Linked DNA regions of Sus scrofa. The protein of the gene in region 2 interacts with the protein of the main gene of each other region in a pairwise test. Links are inferred from orthologs where the notes say so. Each region holds a gene or a part of one and is shown on either strand. Other genes may lie near its edges.

Region 1 (5,805 bases), about 42 Mb from region 2:
TCACTTTACTCACTACATTTAAATCTCCTATCTGTCCCAGGACACCAAAAGCTCCTCGACAACTTTTTTTGCTCATTTTCATTTCCCCTGGCACTTAGCAGGCAATAAGTAAGTAAATAAATATTGAACAAACATTTCATATATATTCAGTGTTTTCAGGACATAAAGTTATTTCAGGACACAAACTCATTTGGTCCCCTTTTCAGCCTTGTGACTTGTGAAATTTTTTAACTTATCATTTTAACCATATTTAATTGTACAAATTAGTGGAAGCAAGTACATTCACAAAGTTGTGCAACCATTACCACTAAATATGAAGGCTTTTTAATGACTTTACTAAAATCACTTGCTATCAGTGGTGGGAAGGGGATCTGAACCCAGGACTCCTGACCCCTAAATTCATGAGCTATTATTCATTACACCAAGGTACCTGTCTGTGAATACCTCCACTGCCCTCCCCTTCTCAGCAGAACATGTGGAGAATCAAATGAGGTTAAGATACCAAAACACTCTACACACATTTCTACTACACGAATGAACACAATTGTGAGAAAAGAAAAAAAAAGTATAAAAACATTTCTCCCAGGTGATTCCTTTTCATTTTGAACTCCTAAAAGCTAGGGCTTTAATATAAATATCACACCTCTTGATCAAGCCTGCAGATCCACTAAAGCAATGCCGGGACCCCAGAGTCAAGTTATGAGGAGAAATGCCTGCATTAGTTAGATTACACTCTCATCAAATTTGGGTAACTGCTTAAACCTGATGTTTATTGTTAATACAGAAAGCTCCTCATAACAAAACACTTTCAATACCAAGGTTAAGTCCAACCTTCAATCATTCTGCCCATTTTGGAACCACCAAAAAAAAAATTCTTATTAGGTATTTTTATGTGCTGTGAAAGCCAAGGAAAATTGTTTATGAGCTAAACTCTGAAACTTAAAACACAAAAAGAATAATTTTGATCCTGTTGGTTATCCTCCCATTTTTTTTTTCCTCAGTCTGAGCTCTCATCAACAGCCACTTCATGTTTAACTCATCATAGTTAATGCAATTAAGTCCAGAAAACTGTTTCCCTAAAGATACTTCCTCCATTAACATCCTTCTCTACCTTCCAGCATCACAATTCTGCCCTGAGAATAAGCATATCATTAAGCTTTAAATAAAATTTCTGATGACTAGATGGAGATATCGTTTTTTGTAGTTATCCAACATGCTTACAGTGCCTTAAAAAATTAAATAAAAATGATTCTATAGGTTTTTATCCACATCTGACAGAATTCTAACCTCCTGAATTCCTGCAAAAAAAATTCAATCTATAGAAGTACTGTCCAATTATTTTAAATCGTATCAAGTAACGTCAAAAGAGACTCAAATGAAAAACTCCATCAATACCAAACCATCTCACCAATGAATATTTATGACATTTCCATATTTCCTGTCTTCTCTCTGTTTACATAAAGCGGTAGTGCCAAGATTCATCTCAGGATTATTAGCCTGCAATACAATGATGGGCCTAATTGCCTTGCAAACCAGGACACCAATAAATGGAGTCTTCAAGCAATCAATTTTAAGAGGAGAAGAAAAAAAAAGGCCTGAGCTCTTTCTGAATACATGCACGTTGCCTGACTAGGAAATAAATTCAGCCTCCTATTTTTCAGTCTCATTCATCAGTTCTCAAGCAGGGAATGCTCCCTTAACTACCTCAAGCTCATCAAATCTATTTAATGCCAAATTCCAGGACTGATTTTTAAATGCACCTGGGGGAAGGCAGAAAGGAGACAGCAGAGACATCAAATAGATAGCTATCACATTCCAGTTTCATCTTCTTCCCCTTTAGTGTGGAAGTGGGTTTTTTTCCCCTTAGCTTTTCATAATATATGAATAATAGAAGACACTTCCCTCTCCTCTATTCTACCTTAACTGAAACCCCTCTCAACTTTACCCTTTGTGTTACTTTTAAATATGATCCTAATACAAATGAAACAAAAACAGCTTAACAAGTCCTCTAGAAAACAGTCTTTAATGTCCCTTCTCTGTCCCCTGCAAGGTCCCCCAACCATGGCCTCCAAAGCTGTCCATTTAAGTCCAACCCCCAACCCTCCAGTGTCTCTTGGAAGCCATCCCAATCCTTCCTCTCCAGAATCATTCAATCCACCCCTTCCCAGCACTGCTCACTGCCCCTCTCCATCCTCCCTGCCCCATCCATACCAGCAACCCCAGGTTTTTCCACTCCTTAATTAGCCCCAACGGCTACCTCACTATCAGCAACTACCTCTTGAGTCCTATCAGTTCATATCAGACATTTTCTCCAAAACTCCCTCGCCACCTTGGCCAAGGGATATTTTCTTCAATATATCATCCCCAACCTTGCTCACCACCTGCCACTGTTCCTTCAGTGTGTCCAGCCCAGAAGCATCTTGTGCGCCCTCTGCCCTGACCCCGACCCAGGGGGCCACCATGCCCCTTCCAGCAATTCTAAAATCACTCTAAATCCCATCCCACTGTGCTCTCCCCACCAAATGGCAATGCTTCTCTGCCCATTTTTCGGCCTAACTTATTTCCCCCCTCCTGCCAGCTCACCTTCACACTCCCTCATTGAAAGTCCCGCCCCCACTATTTCCAACCTCCATAAGCACTTCCCAGGAAACCCCCCAATTCTACCTACCTCTGCTCTCCTAAGCCACGCTATTCCATAAGTCGCAACAAATTCCACCATCCCCAGATGGCAAGCGCCCACTTCAAGCTCAGGTCTCAACCCAGGCCAAGCCCCTCACCCCCAGCTCCTACCACCTTCATCAGCCAGCCCGAGGTCCACCTCAAATTCCGCCCTCCTTAATTAACATCCCCCGAGGGTCCTACTAACCCTGTAATCCAACTCTCTATTCAAATAAACCCCCGACCCCGCAACCCGGCCCGGATCCCAAGCTGTCAATTGCTCCAGGCCAACCCCAAATTCACCACCCTCACGCAGTCCCCTCCCCCATTAGAAGCCATCCCCCTCCAGTCTCATCATCCATTTCGCCCCAAACCACCCAAATTCCACCCCAATCCTACAACCCCACGCTCCTGTCCCAGGTCTGGTCACTCCCCATTAAAAGTCCCCTTCCCTAGCCGCTCCCCCCCAACCTGCTAGTGTCCCACCCTCACCCCACCCCCAGCCCGCGCCAGGACAAGTCTCCCCGGCCAGCCCGCCGTTCCATCGCAACCTCAGCCCCCTTCCCCCAGCCCGCGAGGGCACTCCGTGCCCCGACTCTCATTCTCCCCAGTACCACCGGCCCAGGCTCAGGGAGAGCGGACCGGCGTTGGGAGGGGGGGGATCGCCTCACCGGTGAGCCGCTGCAGGCGAAAACGGCGGCGGCGGCGGCTGAGACGACGATGCCCTTGTCTTCTCTGAAGGCTACGGAGGCGACGCTCTCGCTCCCTCGCCCGTGTCCAGTAAGGAGGCGGATGGCGCGCAGGGACCGGGAGCCTCCTCCTCCTCCTCAGCGACTCGGCTCTGAATCCTCTGCAGTAGCCGCCGAGGAGCCCGACGGGTGGGGGGAGGGGACGCTGGGCTGCGGGCGAGGGAGGAGGAGGCTGAGGGAAGGGGCGGGGGACCGCTGAGAAGGGCTGGGAAGGAGGAGCCGGCGCGGCGCCGCGACACATCCCACAGCCTCAGCGCGCCTGGACCACAACTCCCGGCATGCCCCGCTCCGACCCGCGCTCAGCCTGCGCCTCCCGCCCCCGCACTCGTTGCGGAGGGACCGCTCTCTTCCCGGTCACAGACAATGGAATAAAGCCAGCTCTCCGCGGGGGGCTTTTGTAGACTCAAAGACCACATACGAGGGAAAATTAGGTCGCCCCGCTGCCCCATCCCCCAAAGGACCATGTTTGTGGCGTCTCTTCGCGGGCACGCGCACACTCCCATATAGACCCCCCCACTACCACCACTTCCCGCCGAACTACATTTCCCAGCATGCCCTCACAGCCTCGCGCCCTGCTTCCGGGCCCTTCTCAGACTCTGTACTACAGTTCCCAGGGAGCGTGGTTCTTGTGAAACGCTGGGAGATGCAGTTCTCAGTTCTTCCTCCATGTTAAGCCTAAGAAGTGAAAGAGAGAAAAAAGGGAAGGAAATATGCCAACCCATCGAGAACAGGCCTAGATAGACTAGTTCACCTTGGAGTCTGTACTCTTTTCGCCATCTCCGTCGCCACTGTCTCTCACTAGACAAACGCAGCGGCTCCTCCTGGTCTCTCTGCAAATCCGGACGATTTGGCACCTTGAACCCAAAGGAAAAAAAAAAGCGTACCTCTTGACGCAGCCTCATTACTTTTAAGAATTTACCTTAAAAAGAAAATCAACAATTTGGAAAAGATGAATGCACAAGGTTGTTATATGAGGTTGTTGATTATAGAGTCCATCCATAGGAACTGGTTAAAGTAAATTGCATATACAAACAATATACTACTAAGCAGCCATTCAAAATACTGATATGAATCTGTTTCTTGACATCAAAATCTATTCTAGAGCGGGGGAAATGCTAAGAACAGTATGTTTAGAATGATCCAATTTATGTGAAGCTTGGGACAATATAAGATTTCAGGAAAGAGGTTTCCCAAAATAATCTGTCATTATCTTGGAGAAAAGTGTCAGATTTCAAATAACTTTTATTTTAATATTGCCTGCATTGTTTAAAAAGAGCACATAAGTTTTTAAGCTTTTAAGACTATTTTCCAAAATATAATTTCCAAATTCAACAACAATTTGTCTTTGCTACCTAAAAGCTTTCCATGGCTTTCTGTTGCCCTCTGTGGTGATCCAAGACTGCCTGGTTTTTCTGTGAGCTCAGCATTTCCACTATTAAAACAATGAATGGTGGTCATGTAGAATCATAAAAGAACATTAAGTTAGTAGGGAGGGCTTTCTCAATTTTTATTGTCTCTTCTCAAATTTTTCCTTCTGGTCTTTCCACACCTATTTCCTCCTTTTCTCCTACTCATTCTTGAAACTCAAGCCAAAGTCCTACCCTCCCCAGAACATTTTAGACACATTGATTTTCCTTATATCTGAGTTCTTATAGCAATTGTTTCTACTCTTTAGGGATCACTGTGGGGAGGAGGAATGAGGCGGGAGGAACGAAGTTATTGTTAAGAGTCTACAAAGCAATACTTAAAGCATTGTCTGTAGACTGAATAAATAATCTTACACTTAAATATTGTTTCCTTCTGTGTGCAGCTTTTCTAGAACATGGAATGTTGTATCAGATGATTTCTGATTTAACATAAATCCTGCATTCGACTACAATATTTTAGATTTTATGTAATTTTTCCTTGCTATTCTGCAAGAAACACCAGAACATTTGAGTTCCCATCCACAGGCCTACCAGAAAAGCCCAGGTTGCTTAAATCAAAGGTTAATTTAGTCCAAGGTCCTGCTGCGGCCAATCGCTTCAGCAGCTTCACCCCACCTAAATCTAATTACACCCTTATGTCTTATGACTCATTTTCCCCAAAACAGTCATCATCTTTTTCCAGCTACCTTATTTTCCATCCTATACTCCCAGGCTTAAAATTTCAGGTCCCAACCCCTCGGCCCTGCAAAAATCCTAGACCTCTGCTCCCTTTTCTGAGAATGGTCAGAAAAGTGCCTGTGGAATGTTGTAGCCGTCCCTTCCCCTCTCTGAGTGTTCCACTTTGTAAACCTTTTTCACTCCTTCTCTTCGCCGCTTCTCCAGCTAGCAGACAGTAGGGGCTGGGCAGTCAAAATCAAAAGGGATGGGTCTCTCCAGCCTATCTGAGCTGGGGGACTATGTATGAGGAAGCT
Region 2 (4,643 bases):
AGGCCATCAGATGGCCATTTAATCAGCCATTCAGATTCTATGAATCTAAATGTAATGGAAAACACTGTATTCTGAACTCCTTGCTGGGGTGAAGCAATAAGCTCCTAGCTACCAAGGCAGTGATGGAGAAGAGAGCCTGGGAAAATGAATCCCCCAGCCTGTGCATTAAGATGGGCCAATTATTCTAGTCTGGAGAGGAATAGATGCGGCATTTTGAAATCACTGAAACCAAAGTCTATCTGTGAATAATGCTGGGCCATTAGTGGGTTGATGTGGTGCACTTGTATAAGCAGCAGACGGTTTCAGATTTTTAATCCCAGATTAAATCCTTTAGTTAATTTCATCTCCGTTTATTTCAGATAACTGTCTACACTTAAAAAAAAAAAATCCTCTCTACCAGAAACCATTTGGTTCTTCCTTGACATTTTCTTCCTTGCTTCCTCCTCCTCTCCCACCTTCCTTCTAGCCCCTCAAAACACCTGTGAACACACATCAGCCTCAGATCAAAAAGAACCAGCCTAAACTTCACGAGTTGTAATAGCCACTTCGAATTTTTAGATGGATAGAAAATCATGTAATACAGCTGTCTGCTCCTTTTATTACACATAGATTCAACATGATTTCCAAAGAATTTCTCAGTTGGAGTCCACGTTTGGTTTGTCAAATAGGTAAATGTGAAAAGAGATTTAATGAGAATTCAAATCATTCAGGCTATTCTGATCAATCTGGATCATTAAAGCAGAGAAATAAACTGTCTTAGGGTTGTCCACCTAAATTACTTAGAAAATTACTTCTGATCTCTGCCTTCCTTTGCTCCTGTAAATGATAGCTTAAGGCTCTGTCTATATTGGACTTAGGACCATAGCCCAGCTAAACCAAGCGGCCAGGTCGTCAGACCTAAGACCAGTGAGAGGGAGGGAGAAGATGACCTATTCTGAAATGTGTTTTACACACATATAGACCCTGCCCAGCACACGCGGCTCCAGTTTTCAAGTGAATATGAGATGTTCAAGCATTATGCTGAGCACTGAAAGTCCAGGAAAATTTGTAGAGACTCTAATAAATATTATAGGTCTGATTACAGTGCATTCACCTCATTACAGATGACAGAATGCCTGGCAGCAACATTACATTGGCCGTGAGGTGACTTTCCTTTTAAAATCTTTAATGTGAGCATTCCCCGCCCCCCTCCCCCCCCTCTATTGTAAGATGAAAACTTTTACATTAATCAGTAATGTCAGCACAGAGTTATTTCTAGACCCAGAAGCTGGATCGGTGTTTGTGCAATGCTGGAAGAAATCAAGATTTCTTAAAATGCAGAATTCATGATATGCTTCTCTAAGTGACTTCGCAACAACAGCAGCAGCAGTAACCCTCTTGCTGATTAACATACAAAGCCAGCATCCTCTCACTTCCTCTTCTTTTCAAGGATCATCAAATTCTAGTTTCTAATAGCCTAGATCTATTTTTATATACCATGCGTTTTATGCACTTGGGTTTTAAAGTTATTTAATGCTACAATATATATTGACTTGTTTCATATGAATGTTCCCTTTAAATGCTGGGCCCTCATTTTGCACATACAGTCTACAGTGAACGCTATCATACCAGACCGTCGTCTGCTGCCCACAGCAGTCAGCTAGGCCCACATGAACTAGACATTGATAACTGATGTTTTGGCTTGATTGTCATGTATTTTTCTTTTAAATAAACTCCCTCTAAATTCAGGAAGCAAGTGTGATGAGATATCCCAGGATGTGGGTCTCTCCACTTTGCTTAAGCAGCCCTACCTGTGTATTTTAAATTATCATAGAAAAACAAATGAATAAAAACAACAGCACAAGGAGCAGTGCAGTTGTGACTGTCATCATTTAAGTTAGTTCCCTGACTCCGTTTTATATCCCTGGCCGTGACTGATGCATTTGTGGACGTTCTGTTATGATTGACGTATACTGTGAGCGTACAATGACCTGACCCTTGGTGTGGTTTGTAAAGATGTCCATATTGCACAAGAATGAGCTTCTTGCTGACTCAAATGATGTATGTAGCACACATCTTTTGAAAATGTCAACATCCTTGACCAGTTCACATGGTCTAGACGCGCGGGGCAAAGACAAGCAAGTCACGGAGATTTCGAAGTGCTGTGGCTCGTTAGGCTACAACACGGAGAACCCCAAGTCACTTGATAGTGTGCAAGTTCTTCGCTCCTATGATTGAACACGTCACACATTTATCTTCCTCCTGAGTATCCAAAAGTGCCTTGGAGAGCAAAAAAATGCTTTGCCTCCCCATTTCACAGATAGAAGCAAGGGGGTAGGACCATAGCAAAAAGCTGCAGTCAGCTGCTCTAGAGAAAATGTGATGTGGTGGGACCAGGGCGAAGGTTAGAGACCTTGAGCAGACGTCTTGGGCCAGCAGCACTGGTGTGTGGGTCATACTGAGGGTAGAAATTGATGGGAAACCTAAGGACAAACTCGCGTGGGGACATGTTTCCTAATAACCTTAAAAGAACTCCTCAGCTTGGCTTTAACTGGAGCTCGCAATTCGAAAGAAAATCCCATCACTGAACCCGCAGCTTGGTGTCCCTCCTGCTGGATTCTCTCACATCCTTCTTCTTGCATCCTTCTTCCCACATCCCTCCTCCTGCATCCTTCCTCGGAGTGGGCTGGCAGCCCCCTTGGGGAGGACTCAGGCTCTTTAGCCAGCATAGCTGGAAGGGGGAGAACATGCTTTGCTGTCGCAGGTGCCCGGATGTAGGATGATAATTCTAGAAAGCCTTGTTTGCTAGGCAAGAGTCCAGAGAGGATGAATTTTATCCCTGAATCAAGTCTTTCTTTCCTCGACACAGACTCATCCTAAGAACGGTAAAGCTTGAAAGGAAATATGCTAAATTATTCTGAGCTGTCCACTTAGGATGTGGTGCAGACTTTCCCACTGTTACTAAACACACAAAAAGACACTTCTCCCAAAGCCGACACTTCTCCCAAATCCTTTCTCAAGCCTTTTCTTTTTGTTCACTCTTGCGGTTTATTCTTGCAGCAAGGTCTCTCTCCAGTTGAAGCCCCCAGTTGGTCCATGGGTAAGAGGAAGAATAGGTGGGTCTGTCAGCTGCCAAATTCCAGTTTCTCCTAATTCTTCACAGGAACAAAACCCCAAGTATGGGATCTGAAGTAAGATAGGAAAGAAAGGGAAAATCGGAAACAGAGGGTTAATGCTTTAACTTTTATTTAGACAAAGGGATAATCAAAGGAATGTATAGGGGCTTTGTAGGCAAGCATCCCTTCCAAAAAAATCAGTAAAGAAAATGAAATGGATAAAACTGATAATTTATAAGGAAGAGTATTTGCAATCCAAGAGAATTCTTCAGAAGGATTCATTAAATGGTGAGCTCTCCTAGTGCAATTAAGTAATTGTTTATAGATTATTTCTTAATAGCATGGGAGGAAAAAAAAAGACATCATCTATAAAGCTAGGGTACTAGGAATTAATTCCGAATTGAAAGTCATGCTAAAAACCCAGCTCAAACATTTCAGAAATCATACTTGGACAATGGGAAAGATTATTCAATTTTAAAAAATTGTTTCCTCTTGCTTTATTTATTTATTTATTGGGGCACGTGTACCTAACATTCAAAGCTGAAGCTGTGCCCTTCCTAACTTCAGTAGGCATGGCATTTCAAAACACATTTGAGTGGGTGTCCGGAGCTGCCTTTATAAATAAGACCAAAAAAAAAAAAAAAAAATTTCTGCCCTCAAGCAGCTTACAGGCTAATGGGAAGGGCAGACACAGAAATTAGTTTTTCACAAATGAGAAAGGAATTGCAATTGAATCTGAACCAGGTTCTTTGGGGACAGATAAAGGAAGCATGGAATTCAGCCTGGAGGGAAGTGTGTGGGAGGATGGCTGACAGGAAAGCCTCTCCCACAGGCTGGAGCGGGGGCGATCCAGATGTGTCGGTCAGCGGCGGGCTTTCTGTCTCACTGCCTTGGGTTTGCCTTTCAGCCTGATCGTTTTGAATCACGGCTTCCTGTGGCCTACCAGCCAGGACCTCTCCTCCAGCTAAGCTCTCAGATGCTGCGTGCTGGCCCATGCACCCCTCTTTATCCAATCCATGGTCTCTCAGGGAAATCCAGACAGTCTGCTTATGACTCTCTTTCCTCCATTTGAGCTCCCAGAAGCTAAAACTAGCTCAAACACATCTTTTCTTTTCTTTTTTTCCCCATCTTACCCAAGGCCTGATGAAGTGCCTTAAAGAGAGTCCCACTCAATACATCTTGGTTAAGTGAACCAATAAATGTGTCTTCCCAGCTCAGAGTCAACACATGCTCCAAAGAACTTTGCTTCCAGCCAGCACGGAGCTGTTCTAAAACCGTAAGGCATTGCAGGCCCCTGAAGTGCAAGTAGGAATTACCTTTCGGACCATTTGTACAAAGTCCTTGGAGTTCTGAGGTGACAGGCCCTGAAGTTGGCAGGTACACGCCTCAAGGGAAGATGCATGGGCCACAATCAGGATATTATTTCCTGGAGGCAGAAAAGCAAGACTGGGGAGACTGCGTCTATGCAGACCCATGTAAACCTTCTAAGTACTCGAGCCCAGTGTTCCAGGGAGGGGCAAACATTCTCAAGATGAAGACTATTCGGCC
Region 3 (5,870 bases), on a different chromosome or scaffold from region 2:
CCGGGTTGAGCGTCTTCTTCTTCACACACGTTTTGTGCTTGGATTTCTTATCCACATCGGGCCTCAGGTACCTGCCGGGGAGTGGGGACGGGGGTGGGGGAGCAGGTGGGTCAGGAACAGGACAGGCCCAGGAGAGGCTGGGGCTGGGGGGCAGGTTCCCAGGGAGGGGCAGGTGGGTCCCAGGGCAGGGCGGGGGCTCACGTCTTGACATAGGGGTCGGAGTAGCCGTTGACATCCATGGCGGCCAGGTGGGCACAGCGCATGATGCCCACCAGCAGCCCCCGGCGCCGGGAGCTGTAGCTGAGGCTCAGCAGGATGCGTCCTCGCTCTTCCAGCAGCCCGGGCCCCTGCTCCACCTGCTCCAGCTGTGGGCAGACGGGTTCAGCCTGCGTCCCCTCCACCGCCCCCCCAGCAGTCCCTGCGGGTCGCTCACCTCCTTCAGGTAACAGGAGATGCCCCTCAGCGCCGCAGACATGGAAGAGGGTGAAGCCAGCTGAGGGGGGGGCAAAGAGAAAGTTCTGGAAACCCGGTCTCCCCAGGGCCCCCTTCCCATGGGACCCCGCCGCCCCACACAGACCGGGACCTGGCGCTCCAGGCAGATGTTAAAATGCTTCTTCTGTGAAGGCTTGAGGCGGCGGAGGGGCACGCGGATCTCCCCGATGAACTCGTTGTGGCTCAGCTTGTCCTCGTCACAGACGGAGATCCTGGAGGGGTGCTGCAGGGTCAGGGCCCCTGGGGTCCCTGAGCCCCACTCCAGTGTGGGAGAAAGGTCCTCCACGTGAACTCCGAACGCCCGGGCTGGTCCCGGCTCTGCCCTGAATGCTCTGTTCCTCGCTTGTGAAATGGGCTGTTTCGGGGCTGGCTGGTTAGCGCCAGGCCTGGGCCTCGAGAAGGATGCTTTGATACGCCCTGTGCCTCTGCACCCCCTTTTCCGGATGCCCTGCCTGTCCCTGGGCCCTCAGGACGGCTTTAGCTCCTTCAGGACCCCCCCCCCCCACACACACACACACACTGCCTCCACTCAGGGCCTGGCGACAGGATGCCACGGAATGTGCATAGCACTGGTGGAGTGGGTCCCGGGTCCGACATGGAGGCGCTAGAAGGCCCTGGAGATGCTCTGAGGAGTCAGACCAGGAGCTCACACCTTCCCTAGAGCCCCCGTTTCTTTTCTGTGTGGAGCAGGGAGCCAGCCTGGGAGAGTCTCAGGAGCCCAGCCATGAAGGGATTATTGCTTTTAGTTCCATCCGTTTCCATGTGCAGCCCCCTGCACGTCCTTCTGAGGTCACCCTCAGCAGCTCTGTCAGGTAGGAGTGTTCCGTTTCCAGCTCCGCCACTTTTATAGCAACCCCGTGACCTGGAGCAAATCGCTTAACCTCCCTAAGGCCTCATTGCCACGCCTGTCCCTTGAGACGTCACTCCTTAGCCATGTTAGGGGGACAGAAGCAACAGGATGGGCAGACCTCCGCTGCAGAGGTGTGACTTAAGTCAGGGGCTCTAGAAAGGGTCTCTAGACCAGGAAACGATTGCAGGAGGAGGCAGAGCCTCAAAGGATGAGAGGGATTTAGGCCCGCAGAGAGGGGAGGCCAGAAGTGACACAGCAGGCAATGCTCAGGAGTTATGAACCCCACCAGCGGGAAGAGGGCGGCCCTCTGTTGGAGGAGCAGTAGGGGATATCTGAGGGGCAGGGACACAGGGTGGCCTGCTCCCAAAGGGGAAGGGAGCCACTGATGGTTCTTGAGCGTCTGAGAGGGCTTAGTGGAAGGTGGATCAACCAATCCAAGAAGGTTCCAAAGAGCTGTCCCCAAGGAGGCGCTGTCCTCCCTGGTAACAGGGAGGAGGGACCCCTCACCTGAGCACCTTGTGGGTGATGTCCTCGTCCGTGATCCCGCTGTATGTCAGGTCCTCGTTCCACACAGGATTCAGCGTGTTCCTCTGAGTCTTTGTCTTTAACTTATTGGCCTAAGGTGTGGGGACGAAGGGTTCTCAGTACGTCGTGATGCACAGAGGCTGGAGGCAGGAGAAAATTGGGGACAGACCCGCAAGCTGAGTGAGTCCGGGGGACAGGGGAGGGGGAGGCCATTACCTTGCAGGCTCCAGGCAGCAGGTGCAGCTTTACGTAGGGGTCGGCCAGGCCGTTGAAATCCATGGGCTTGAGGCCCTGGGATAGCGTGGAGGAAAGAGGGCTGTGAGCTCCCAGTCTTATCAGCCTGCCCTCCCTCCCTGTCTCTGCAGAGTGGACCCCGGGGGGGGGGGGGGGGGGAAATGGGGGAAGGAGCAGGAGTCAGGCCTAGGGAAGGGAAGGGGGGAGGCAAACAGGACCAGGGCTTGGGAGGCAAGAAGCACCCACCTTGGCCCTGAGGATACTACAGTGCAGCGTGCAGGAAGCCTGGTCATAGAGAAGGTCAAACTCCAGCATGCCCAGGGCGGCTGGAGGAGAGGGAAGAGGTAGCCTGAGTCAGTGAGTCAAGACAGGTGTGTGACAGAGAGCCGGGGGGCAGGCCCGCTCCGTGGGCCAGCTGTGAAGGTGTGCGCCCGTCTGCGTCTATCAGCCTGCGGAGTGTGTGCGCGCGTCTGGGTCCCTGGCTGGGCTGCAACTGGGGCTGTGTGGGTGGTTGAGTGTCTCAGCAGAAATATTGAATATTGAGCCTGGCTGAAGCTGTAATCACCATTCTGACTGCAGCTGTGGTGGCCGTGCCCGCCGCCTCCCCACGCCCAGCGGGGGCCCCGTGCCCCTGCTGTGAGCCTGGAGCCCCCACTAGCACCCTGAGCCTTTCAGGTCCCCAGACTCACTGGTATCGTCCGAGTCATAGCTGTCCACCTCAGCTCCATCCTCAGGCGTGGTGGCCCCAAGGAGGGCTGCGGGGGGCGCCAAGGCCAGGGGCGCCAGTCGGGCCGGGGCCTCTCCGAAGCCCCTGCCGCCCCCTTCGGGTCCCAGTCCCCGGCGGGGGAAGTAGTCAGAGATCTGGCGGATGGGCCGGATGGGCCCGGGGCACACGTTGATGGCCATGTGCTCCTGGATGTTGATGGTCATGCGGTCGCCCCTGCGGCCCCTCATGCAGCACCCCTGGGTGGGGGAGGGAGGTTCCAGAGAGCGTGAGCCCGGGGCTGACTTCAAACCTACCATCTGCTGGCTGAGGGCCAGGCAACACCCTCCTGGATCTGTGGGTCCCCAGTGGCCTCCCTTCCTAGGTATTGAGGGAGACTGCAGCCTGTGCCAGCTGACGGCCAGGCAGAAGGCCTGGGCCCTCCAGACCCCAAGCTGTCCTCCACAGGGGCTGCGCTGCCAGCCCCCCCAGATAGGTCCTGGCTCCATCTCAGCCTTGCCCACTTACCTCTGGATTGTCCCTTTGTCATCTTCCCAGCTCCTACCCTCATTCTGGGCTTCTGGCTGCCCTGGGCCCTATCTACCCCTAAAGCAGCCCCATTGGTCCTCTCCTCTGTCTCTCTGAGGCTCTGGCTATCCTTCAGCACCAGGCGCTTGTCAGGTCTGGGTATCACCCACCCCTTAGGTTTTCACTTCCCACTGTCCCTTCATTCAGCCCCAGGATCTGCTGGCCTCCCTGGTCCCCTACCCCCGCAGCTCAAGGTGAGGACCCCTGCCTCAGATGCCACCTCCCGAGACTGGCTCTCCAGAGGAGCCAGAAATTGCAGCCTCCCGAGAGCCAAACACCCCCGGAGGCACACACAGGCTAACACACACTCACCCTCACCCTCGCCCCTGGCAGCCCAGGCCCCTGCACCTGTCTCTGCGCCTCCAACAGGTGCCCAAGTACTGGGGGGACAGCGGGTGCCGGCTGGGCGGCGGCGGCCGGCGATTCCCAGGGCGGCCGGCGAGAAGAGCGCCGAGTCCGGCAGTCTGAGCCGAGAGGGAGGGAGAGCTGGAGAAAGTGCGGGGGGGAGGGGGGGAGCGTGGTGGAGGCGAGGATGCAGCCGGCGCAGGCGGCGCGGGGCGGGGAGGGGCGGCGGGAGGCTGGGGAGGGGGCGGGACTACTCTCCCGCCGGCGCCCGCCCGGGCACACTTAGGAGCGCGCACGAGTGCACACACACGGGCAGGCTGGCACTCGCATCTTGCACGGGCACTCCTGTGCGCACGCCTGTGCCCACGTGCGCACGCTCACACTCGTGCACAACCCCAGACACGCGCTGGCACACTCACCCTGGAGAACTTCGCAAACACACGGGCTCCCTGCGCCACCAGGAACCCACAGCGAGAACTGCCCGGTGTTCCCCAACTCCTCCCGGGAGACCCGGGCCCCCGTTCCGCCCCCGCGCCGAGCGCCTTAGCCTCCCTCCCGCGCCTTCTCCTTGCTTTCCTCCCGGGTCTCCAGGGCGGACCACCGGCCTAGTTGCCATGGCGACGCCGGTTCATCCTTTCCCCCCTTCCCCCCTCGCGCGTTCTCACGCCCCTCCCCCGCAGACAGCCCTCGGAGAAGGGGGGGAGGGCATATGGCCCTCCCCTCCCAATATCCGTAGGGGCGGGGCCTGAGGGGCGGGGCTTAGAGATCCGCAGTGACCCAGGGGCGGGCTGAAGAAGAGGGTCTGGTAGGCCCGCGGTCCCTGGTTTGGGATCTTGGGGTCCCGGACCCGGTCAGGGAAACGTCGCAGTCGGAGGTCAGAGGCTGTGGCTTCCCCCACGCCTCCTTCCTTCGGCTGTTCAGGCTTCTCTCCTTGTGACCCAACCCAGCCCCCGAGGGCCCATGTCCCCTTCCCAGGGATGGCTTCTCCTTCGGGAATCCACCTTCCCTCGCCCTCCGATTTCCAGTCTGTCCCTCAGGTGGGGCGGGGCGTCGGGCTTAGTTTAAATGCCCTGGAGCCCAGCAGTCTTTCCTCCTCCGTCTGCCTCCTCTCACCTGAACCCTGCCACCTGCAGTCTAACCCCAGCCTTTGATCTTTGCTCTCCTTTGCCCCAGACTTGCCAGCCCTTCAAGGCCCTTCCCCCTTATTCACCTTGCTGGCTCTCAGAACATTGCTTGCAGTTTCTAGAATACACCTGGATCTCTCAGATCTCCAGACCTTTGCTCACCCAAGGTCCCCAGCTGGGAAGATCTTTCCTTTCTTCAGGGGTCATTCTGGACCACCTCTTCCTAAGACACTTACTGGACCATCCGCACCTCCACCCCTGGCCCAGGCCCCAGCTCTCAGTGCTATCTCAGGTTCAGCTCTGGTAGCACTGGTTTGTCATACCTGTTTACATTTCTCCCCCACTACCAGGGAGCAGAGGCTGCCTCAAGCTAGTCCTGGCACTAGATTGGCACCACTAAGTAGTATGACTTTAGGTTGCATAGCCGTGTGAATATACTTAACATTGCTGAACTGTGTGCTTGAAAATGGCTAAGATATAAATATTCCTATGTGGATTTTTACCCCAGTTTTTTTTTTTTAAGAGAAATGTGAAATCAAACTACACTGAGATACCACTTGTCGCCTATCAAATGCTAAAATTCAAAGCAAAAGTGAAAACACAATGTTAGCGAAGCTGCGGGGAAATGGGCACCACCTCTGTGGAGGCCAGTCTGACAATGGCTACTGTCAGACTCTTTGACCCAGAAATTCTACTTCTAGGATTTGGCCCATGAGCAAAAATGACAGAAGTTCAAGGGCATTAACCACAGCATGTTTGCAATGGCAACAGACTAGAAACAACCTAAAGGTCCACGACTGGGGAAGTTCCTGTCGTGGCTCAGCAGAAACGAATCTGCCTACTGTCCATCAGGACCCAGGTTCAATCCCTGGCCTCGCCCAGTGGGTTGAGGATCTGGCGTTGCTGTGAGCTGTGGGGTAGGTTGCAGAGGCAGCTCGGATCCCGAGTTGCTGTAGCTGTGGCATAGGCCAGCAGCTACAGCTCCCATTTGACCCCTAGCCTGGGAACT
Region 4 (5,634 bases), on a different chromosome or scaffold from region 2:
AAAAGATGACGAGTGAGGACAAGTGCAAGGAGAGAAGGAAATTAGTCTGACTGGCTTTCTGTCCTGCACCATTGATTCAATGGAGATTGGCGGGAAGGTATCGAAGACCGGGGCTGAGGGTGGAACATGGGGCAAAGGACGAAAAGGAAAAGGCAGACAGCTAATGCAGTTCATTTGTAACAAGTAACCTAAATCAAAGACTTAAAGGAGATTAAAGACCAATCAGAATAATTTGGCAACTTTAATTCTTAGGAAGATCAAAGTTCCCTCCAAACCTAATTTGATGTTTTATTACTAAAAGCAAAGACCAGTATGGTACAGTATTACTCCAGAGGAATTACAGGAAGATCCTTAGGGCTGCTTCACCCACATTCATTTGATGAATGGATACCTCCCCTACCTCAAAATGCTTTAGGGAGGTACTGCTACCATTACATGGTTCCTTATTAAGTTTGAAAAGTGCCTGAAAGTTTGGGCACCAGAAAGACACCCCAACAACATGTGTCTAAACTGCAACTTCAGGTTAATATGACTAAAGCAGTTACATTGTGAGAAGTGCTGAAGGTATGTGACGTCTTTCCCGGCACAGAGGTGGCCTTGGTTCTTCACCAGATGGTGTAGCCGCCATCTGAGCCACCCATGAAGAAGTTTCCCTTCCGCTGAGTTACGAGGACATTCGCTCCCTGCATGACTGCCAGCTGAGCAGCATTGGGAGGGCATCCAGGGGGAGGAGGCTGAAAGGAAAAGACAAGGTTGATTGGGCACCGGGCAGCTGATACGAGAGAAGTGGACAAAGATGAAAGAGGACCGGTCAGGAAGATGGCAACGTGCTACTTGAGCCAGCAGTGTGGGTGAAGCAGGTCTATATTCTCTGTGAGCCCCAAGACATAAACAGAAAACAGATCCTACCCCTCATTTAAAGGGTCCCAGATCCAAGATAAAGCCTAGGGATCCCTCCTGGGTATGCACAGTCCAGACCCATAAGCATTTGCAGGGTGGAAAATCCCTCTGACTCCCATTCCAAAAAATGGGGAGGGGTTACCAGGTCCATGGCCCTACACCACAGAGTTCCTCAACAGTTTTCACATGGATAATCTGAAGGCTCTACCTGATGACAGCATTCTCACCTCATTGTTAGCATATGGTTACTGCGTGAATGGCCCTAGCAAGGACCATTTGGGCTCTAGTTACCATACATAGGGAAACTAAGTGGGAGACATAGTAAAAGCCCTAGTAAAGTCTTCCTAAAGGGAACTTAACAGGGATACGCATTCTACTTTTTAATCATCATGGCTCCTGATAAAATGCTGTGCAAATATTAAGTAAATGCTTATGGAATGAATGAGGAGTGTTACTAGACCAGTACCAAAGTGAACTGGAAAAGCAGCAGGCAGGACTCCTAAGACAGAAACAAAGGAATCTGGTTAACTCAGACCTCAGTGAATATGCCAGAGGCTACTGACTTCCCACAGTTCTCCTGCCCCCTCAAGTGAATTCTGCCTGATTACTGGACGTCAGTGGTTGCACCAATACCAGCAACTACTGCCCAGGGATGATGAAAGGATGACTATGTAGTCATTTCAGAAAGTTAATATACACAAGGGCTGAGGTTTTTGTGATAAAGGCATACTCACAGGAATGTTGCCAGCAGTAGCGCCAGCTCCAAATCTGGCACCTGTATCATACCCTCCTTCCACCAGCACTGTTGAACCAGGTGGATAGATGGGACCAACTGGATAATAAGCCATGGGGATTGTGGAACCTAAAGGTCCAACAGCCACAGACTGGGCCATGGGAAGGTACAGTGAGGCGCCAGGAAATGCAGCTGACATGGTGGGGACTGTGGCAGCCCCTGGGTGCACAAAGCTCGGACGATAGAGCTAGAAGAGGCAGAAGAGAGGGCAACACGTTACTTTATGACATTCTTATTTCAGATCTCTTTCATGAGGCAATTCTTAATTATTGTGCAGATTACACTCTGAGTTACACAAGTTGCCTTTCCACCAGCCACTCAATATCCTCCTGGATCACTTCCTGCTAGAAATAATGTTGGGCTCAAAGAACGCTAACTCATCTTCTCAACTTCAGCCTGTGCCAAAGAGCAAAATAATCAGATAATGCCTTCTCAACCCCAACTGAAATTGCTGAACTATAAAGAGGTTTTAGATTATCCACGTGAGCTCTCTCTCCTGTTTGTGGAGAGTAAATACATGTGTGGAGCCAGACTTAGCTAAAGACTGAAAATGTGATCCAAGAGTACTCAGTTCAAGTCTAGTAAACTGGAAGCACCTCTGAATAGGCAGGTGGAGCATCAGTATAGGGTGGAGCCTGAGGAAGATGCAAGGTCTGAGGGTACACAGGATTCCCGGGAGGCTGCACCGGGTAGGTTGGCTGCGTTGGATATTGACCTGGAAGACAGGAAAAAAAACAAAAAACAAAAAAAAGAATGTTGCCTACCACACAGAGCAACCAAAATGGGGCAGAGCATACTGGGTAGCTAACCTCACTGAGCCAGCAAGAGGTTTGCAAAAACACTGTCCTAGAGGGCCTGATTCCTGGAACCAAGAAAATAAACACTCTTTGTACCCTTATAACTGAGATGCTGGATTCTAACTGGGCTGGAAGGTCTCTTTACAGTAGCACACTGGTACAAGGGGAAAGTCTATCTAGGCCCAAGATCCTTCCAGAATGGGCATGTCTGCGCACCCATTCCTGTCGATGTTTTAAGTGTGTGCGTCCTCTCTGCTCTGGTGGTCCCCCAGGGCCTGGCTGAAACTGGCCTAGAGCTCGTGAGTAACGGTGTTTGTAGTCCTCCACCTCACAGGTTCCTACTCAAGGTCGACTTCCAAATAAAAAGAGTGGTGAAAGTGAGCCTTGGGATGGGAGAGGAGGTGGAGGCGAATGTCCTAACACAGGAACTGGGAGACGTTCAGGCGGCCAGCGAGGTTAAGGGGAAAGAGACCCTTCGGCCTGCCCGGCCCGCCCACCAGGGCCGGCAATTCACTAGTTAAGCCCTGGGGCCTGCCTGTGGTTCCGGAGCGCGGCGCCCCGCCTCCGCAGGCTCTCCATTGGCCTACCCAAATATCAGCTCTAGCTCCCCATTTGCGCCTGCAGATGCCCATCACGACAAGCCTTCTCGCCCCCCCCCCCGCTCCAACGGCCCCCCACTCGAGCCCGGAGCTCCAAACTGCGCCACAGAGTTTAAGGGGGAAAAGGCCAGGAGGGGGCGAGCAGCCGTAGTTCGGGGATGACGAAGGCGTCTGGCGCAACCCCCGGCACTACAGCTGGCCCAGGAGCGCGGCGCAACTAGCCCCAGGCCTGGCTTTTGATGACCCTTGGTCCCGGGCCCGCTCTCTCCGGGCCAGCACTATTCTCCCCGATGGCCTCAGCTACCCCCTGTCCTTGCCTTTGCTGTTCATGGTGGCTGCGGGTCCGGTTCAGCTCGGCGTCGCGGACGGTTATTTTTTTCGTCCTCTTCCTGTTCGTAGTCACTTCCGTGTCACGTGACGATTCGTCCGCCTAGCGTCACCCGACGCCCGAATGCCGCTGCCACCGGAAACCCCGCCCCTTCGCCAGGTCTCCAGTAGCTGGAGGAAGGACCCGCGTGATCCGCCCACTCACTTTGGCCCCGCCCACTGGGTCGAGCCCTCCAACCCCCACCCTTGTCCCTTGATTGGAAGAAAACAAAGTACAGGTATTGTCTCAAAACAGTATCTTTTCTCTCTTGGTCGCTCTGAGGCAGTACCTTCACACTGCTCCCCGAAACCCTTCCCACCTACGCACTGCAACTCAAGGTCACCTTACTTTGAGAGTCTTTCCACAGGGGGCACAGTGCTACGAATTTCTCTAACTGCCTGAAATACGCTCCTCAAACCCTTGATTTATCCCGTGTTCCCCTCCCATTAAACCCAACTTAAGCCTCAACTCCATAGAGGTTTATTTTGCTGGTCGTATTCACATCTGTCCTTTTCTGACTTAGACCATCACTCGAATTTTCTCAGCCTGTCCATTCTACCGACAGGCTTCTGTGTTTATTTCAGTGTCGCTTTCTCACTAAAAGGAAGGGTATGCTGTGCTGTGAACCCCCCCCCCCCCCACACACACTACAGCTAACACTGAAACTGGCATTCTTGTGGTCCCCAAGGAGTGCCTGTGGCCCTGCCCTTCCTTTGGTACCTGTTACAGGCAACTGTGTGATACCTCATGTATATTTTCCTTTGTGTATCTCCTAAATTAATTGTTCTTGGAGTTCTCTTGTGGCTCAGTGGTCTAAGGACCTGGCGTTGTCGCTGCTGTGGCTCTGGTTATAGCTATGGCAAGGGTTTGACCCCTGGCGTGGGAATTTCTGCATTCCTAGCTGAGGCAAAACAAAACAAAACAAAACAAAACAAAAACCTTGTTCTTAAGGGCAAAGATGGCATCCTTTCAGGCAGCAAATAAGTTTTTCCTTCCATTCTTCGTTTTAAAATATCTGCTGGTGTTGCTCTGTGCAAGTAGAGATGGAGCTGGACAAGACAGGCAAACATTGTTTTCTTATGGAATTTACATTCTATACTTCAGTAAGAACATTAGAAAAGCATCTGAAAAGGGAAAACTTTGGAAAGAAAAGCCCTCAGTAAACCGTAGAAGCCTGATAAATATTTGCTGATGAATGATTTAAACCACTGATTTCAGCTCAGCAATCCCTTGCTTTTGTTTCCAGTAGCATATTATGCTCAGAGTTTTCAGAGCAGAGCACCCCTGCAATGCTCTGGGGGGTCTTCATGAATCTTCACAACAGCCCTGTGTGATAGCCAGGACTTGTTTGAGCATTCCTGGCTTTTTTGTTGTTGTTGTTTTGTTTTTGTCTTTTTGCCATTTCTTGGGCCGCTCCCTCAGCATATGGAGGTTCCCAGGCTAGGGGTCCAATCGGAGCTGTAGCCACCAGCCTACGCCAGAGCCACAGCAACACAGTATGTGAGCTGTGTCTGCAACCTACACCACAGCTCACGGCAACGCGGGATCGTTAACCCACTGAGCAAAGCCAGAGATCGAACCCGCAACCTCATGGTTCCTAGTCGGTTTTGTTAACCACTGCGCCACGGTGGGAACTCTGCATTCCTGTTTTTATTTTTTTATTTTATTTATTTATTTATTTATTTATTTTTTTTTTTTTGGCTTTTTGCTATTTCTTGGGCCACTCCCGCGGCATATGGAGGTTCCCAGGCTGGGGGTCGAATCGGAGCTGTGGCCACCGGCCTACACCAGAGCCACAGCAACGCGGGATCCGAGCTGCATCTGCAACCTACACCACAGCTCACGGCAACGCCGGATCGTTAACCCACTGAGCAAGCACAGGGACCGAACCTGCAACCTCATGGTTCCTAGTCGGATTCGTTAACCACTGCGCCACGATGGGAACTCCTGCATTCCTGTTTTTAAATGTGAGAATTAATTAAAGAGATCTGGGAGTTCCCACTGTGGTGTGGTGGGTTAAGGATCCGGGGTTGTCTCTGTCTGTGTGACTTCAATCCCCAGCTGGGCACAGTGGGTTAAGGATGCAGGCATAGGTCTCAGCTGTGGCTCAGATTCAGTCCTTGGCTCTGGATCTTCCATATGCTGCAGGTGTAGCCAAAAGAAGAAAAAAAAGAGAGA

The links.
Region 1: the proteins of UBASH3B (region 2) and FAM168A interact in binary tests that used the Homo sapiens proteins (3 or more experiments, as listed by UniProt). The two-hybrid records come from large-scale screens. The link is inferred for Sus scrofa from reciprocal best matches to the Homo sapiens genes UBASH3B and FAM168A.
Region 3: the proteins of UBASH3B (region 2) and DOC2A interact in binary tests that used the Homo sapiens proteins (3 or more experiments, as listed by UniProt). The link is inferred for Sus scrofa from reciprocal best matches to the Homo sapiens genes UBASH3B and DOC2A.
Region 4: the proteins of UBASH3B (region 2) and DAZAP2 interact in binary tests that used the Homo sapiens proteins (3 or more experiments, as listed by UniProt). The two-hybrid records come from large-scale screens. The link is inferred for Sus scrofa from reciprocal best matches to the Homo sapiens genes UBASH3B and DAZAP2.

What each region holds. Positions count from the first base shown.
Region 1 is NC_010451.4:8,068,203-8,074,007, forward strand, and holds the start of FAM168A (protein FAM168A), read right to left. Parts: upstream 3,783-5,805; 5' UTR 3,330-3,782; intron 1-3,329.
Region 2 is NC_010451.4:49,766,130-49,770,772, reverse strand, and holds part of UBASH3B (ubiquitin-associated and SH3 domain-containing protein B), read right to left. Parts: intron 4,522-4,643; coding exon 4,412-4,521; intron 3,166-4,411; coding exon 3,028-3,165; 3' UTR 1-3,027. UniProt on the Homo sapiens protein: Interferes with CBL-mediated down-regulation and degradation of receptor-type tyrosine kinases. Promotes accumulation of activated target receptors, such as T-cell receptors and EGFR, on the cell surface.
Region 3 is NC_010445.4:18,212,163-18,218,032, forward strand, and holds the start of DOC2A (double C2-like domain-containing protein alpha), read right to left. Parts: upstream 3,836-5,870; 5' UTR 3,314-3,835; coding exon 2,791-3,313; intron 2,428-2,790; coding exon 2,348-2,427; intron 2,159-2,347; coding exon 2,084-2,158; intron 1,960-2,083; coding exon 1,850-1,959; intron 705-1,849; coding exon 434-704; intron 366-433; coding exon 202-365; intron 72-201; coding exon 1-71. UniProt on the Homo sapiens protein: Calcium sensor which most probably regulates fusion of vesicles with membranes. Binds calcium and phospholipids. May be involved in calcium dependent neurotransmitter release through the interaction with UNC13A.
Region 4 is NW_018085018.1:160,079-165,712, forward strand, and holds DAZAP2 (DAZ-associated protein 2), read right to left. Parts: upstream 3,485-5,634; 5' UTR 3,420-3,484; coding exon 3,407-3,419; intron 2,409-3,406; coding exon 2,290-2,408; intron 1,881-2,289; coding exon 1,635-1,880; intron 735-1,634; coding exon 606-734; coding exon of another isoform or gene 412-605; 3' UTR 264-411; downstream 1-263. UniProt on the Homo sapiens protein: In unstressed cells, promotes SIAH1-mediated polyubiquitination and degradation of the serine/threonine-protein kinase HIPK2, probably by acting as a loading factor that potentiates complex formation between HIPK2 and ubiquitin ligase SIAH1.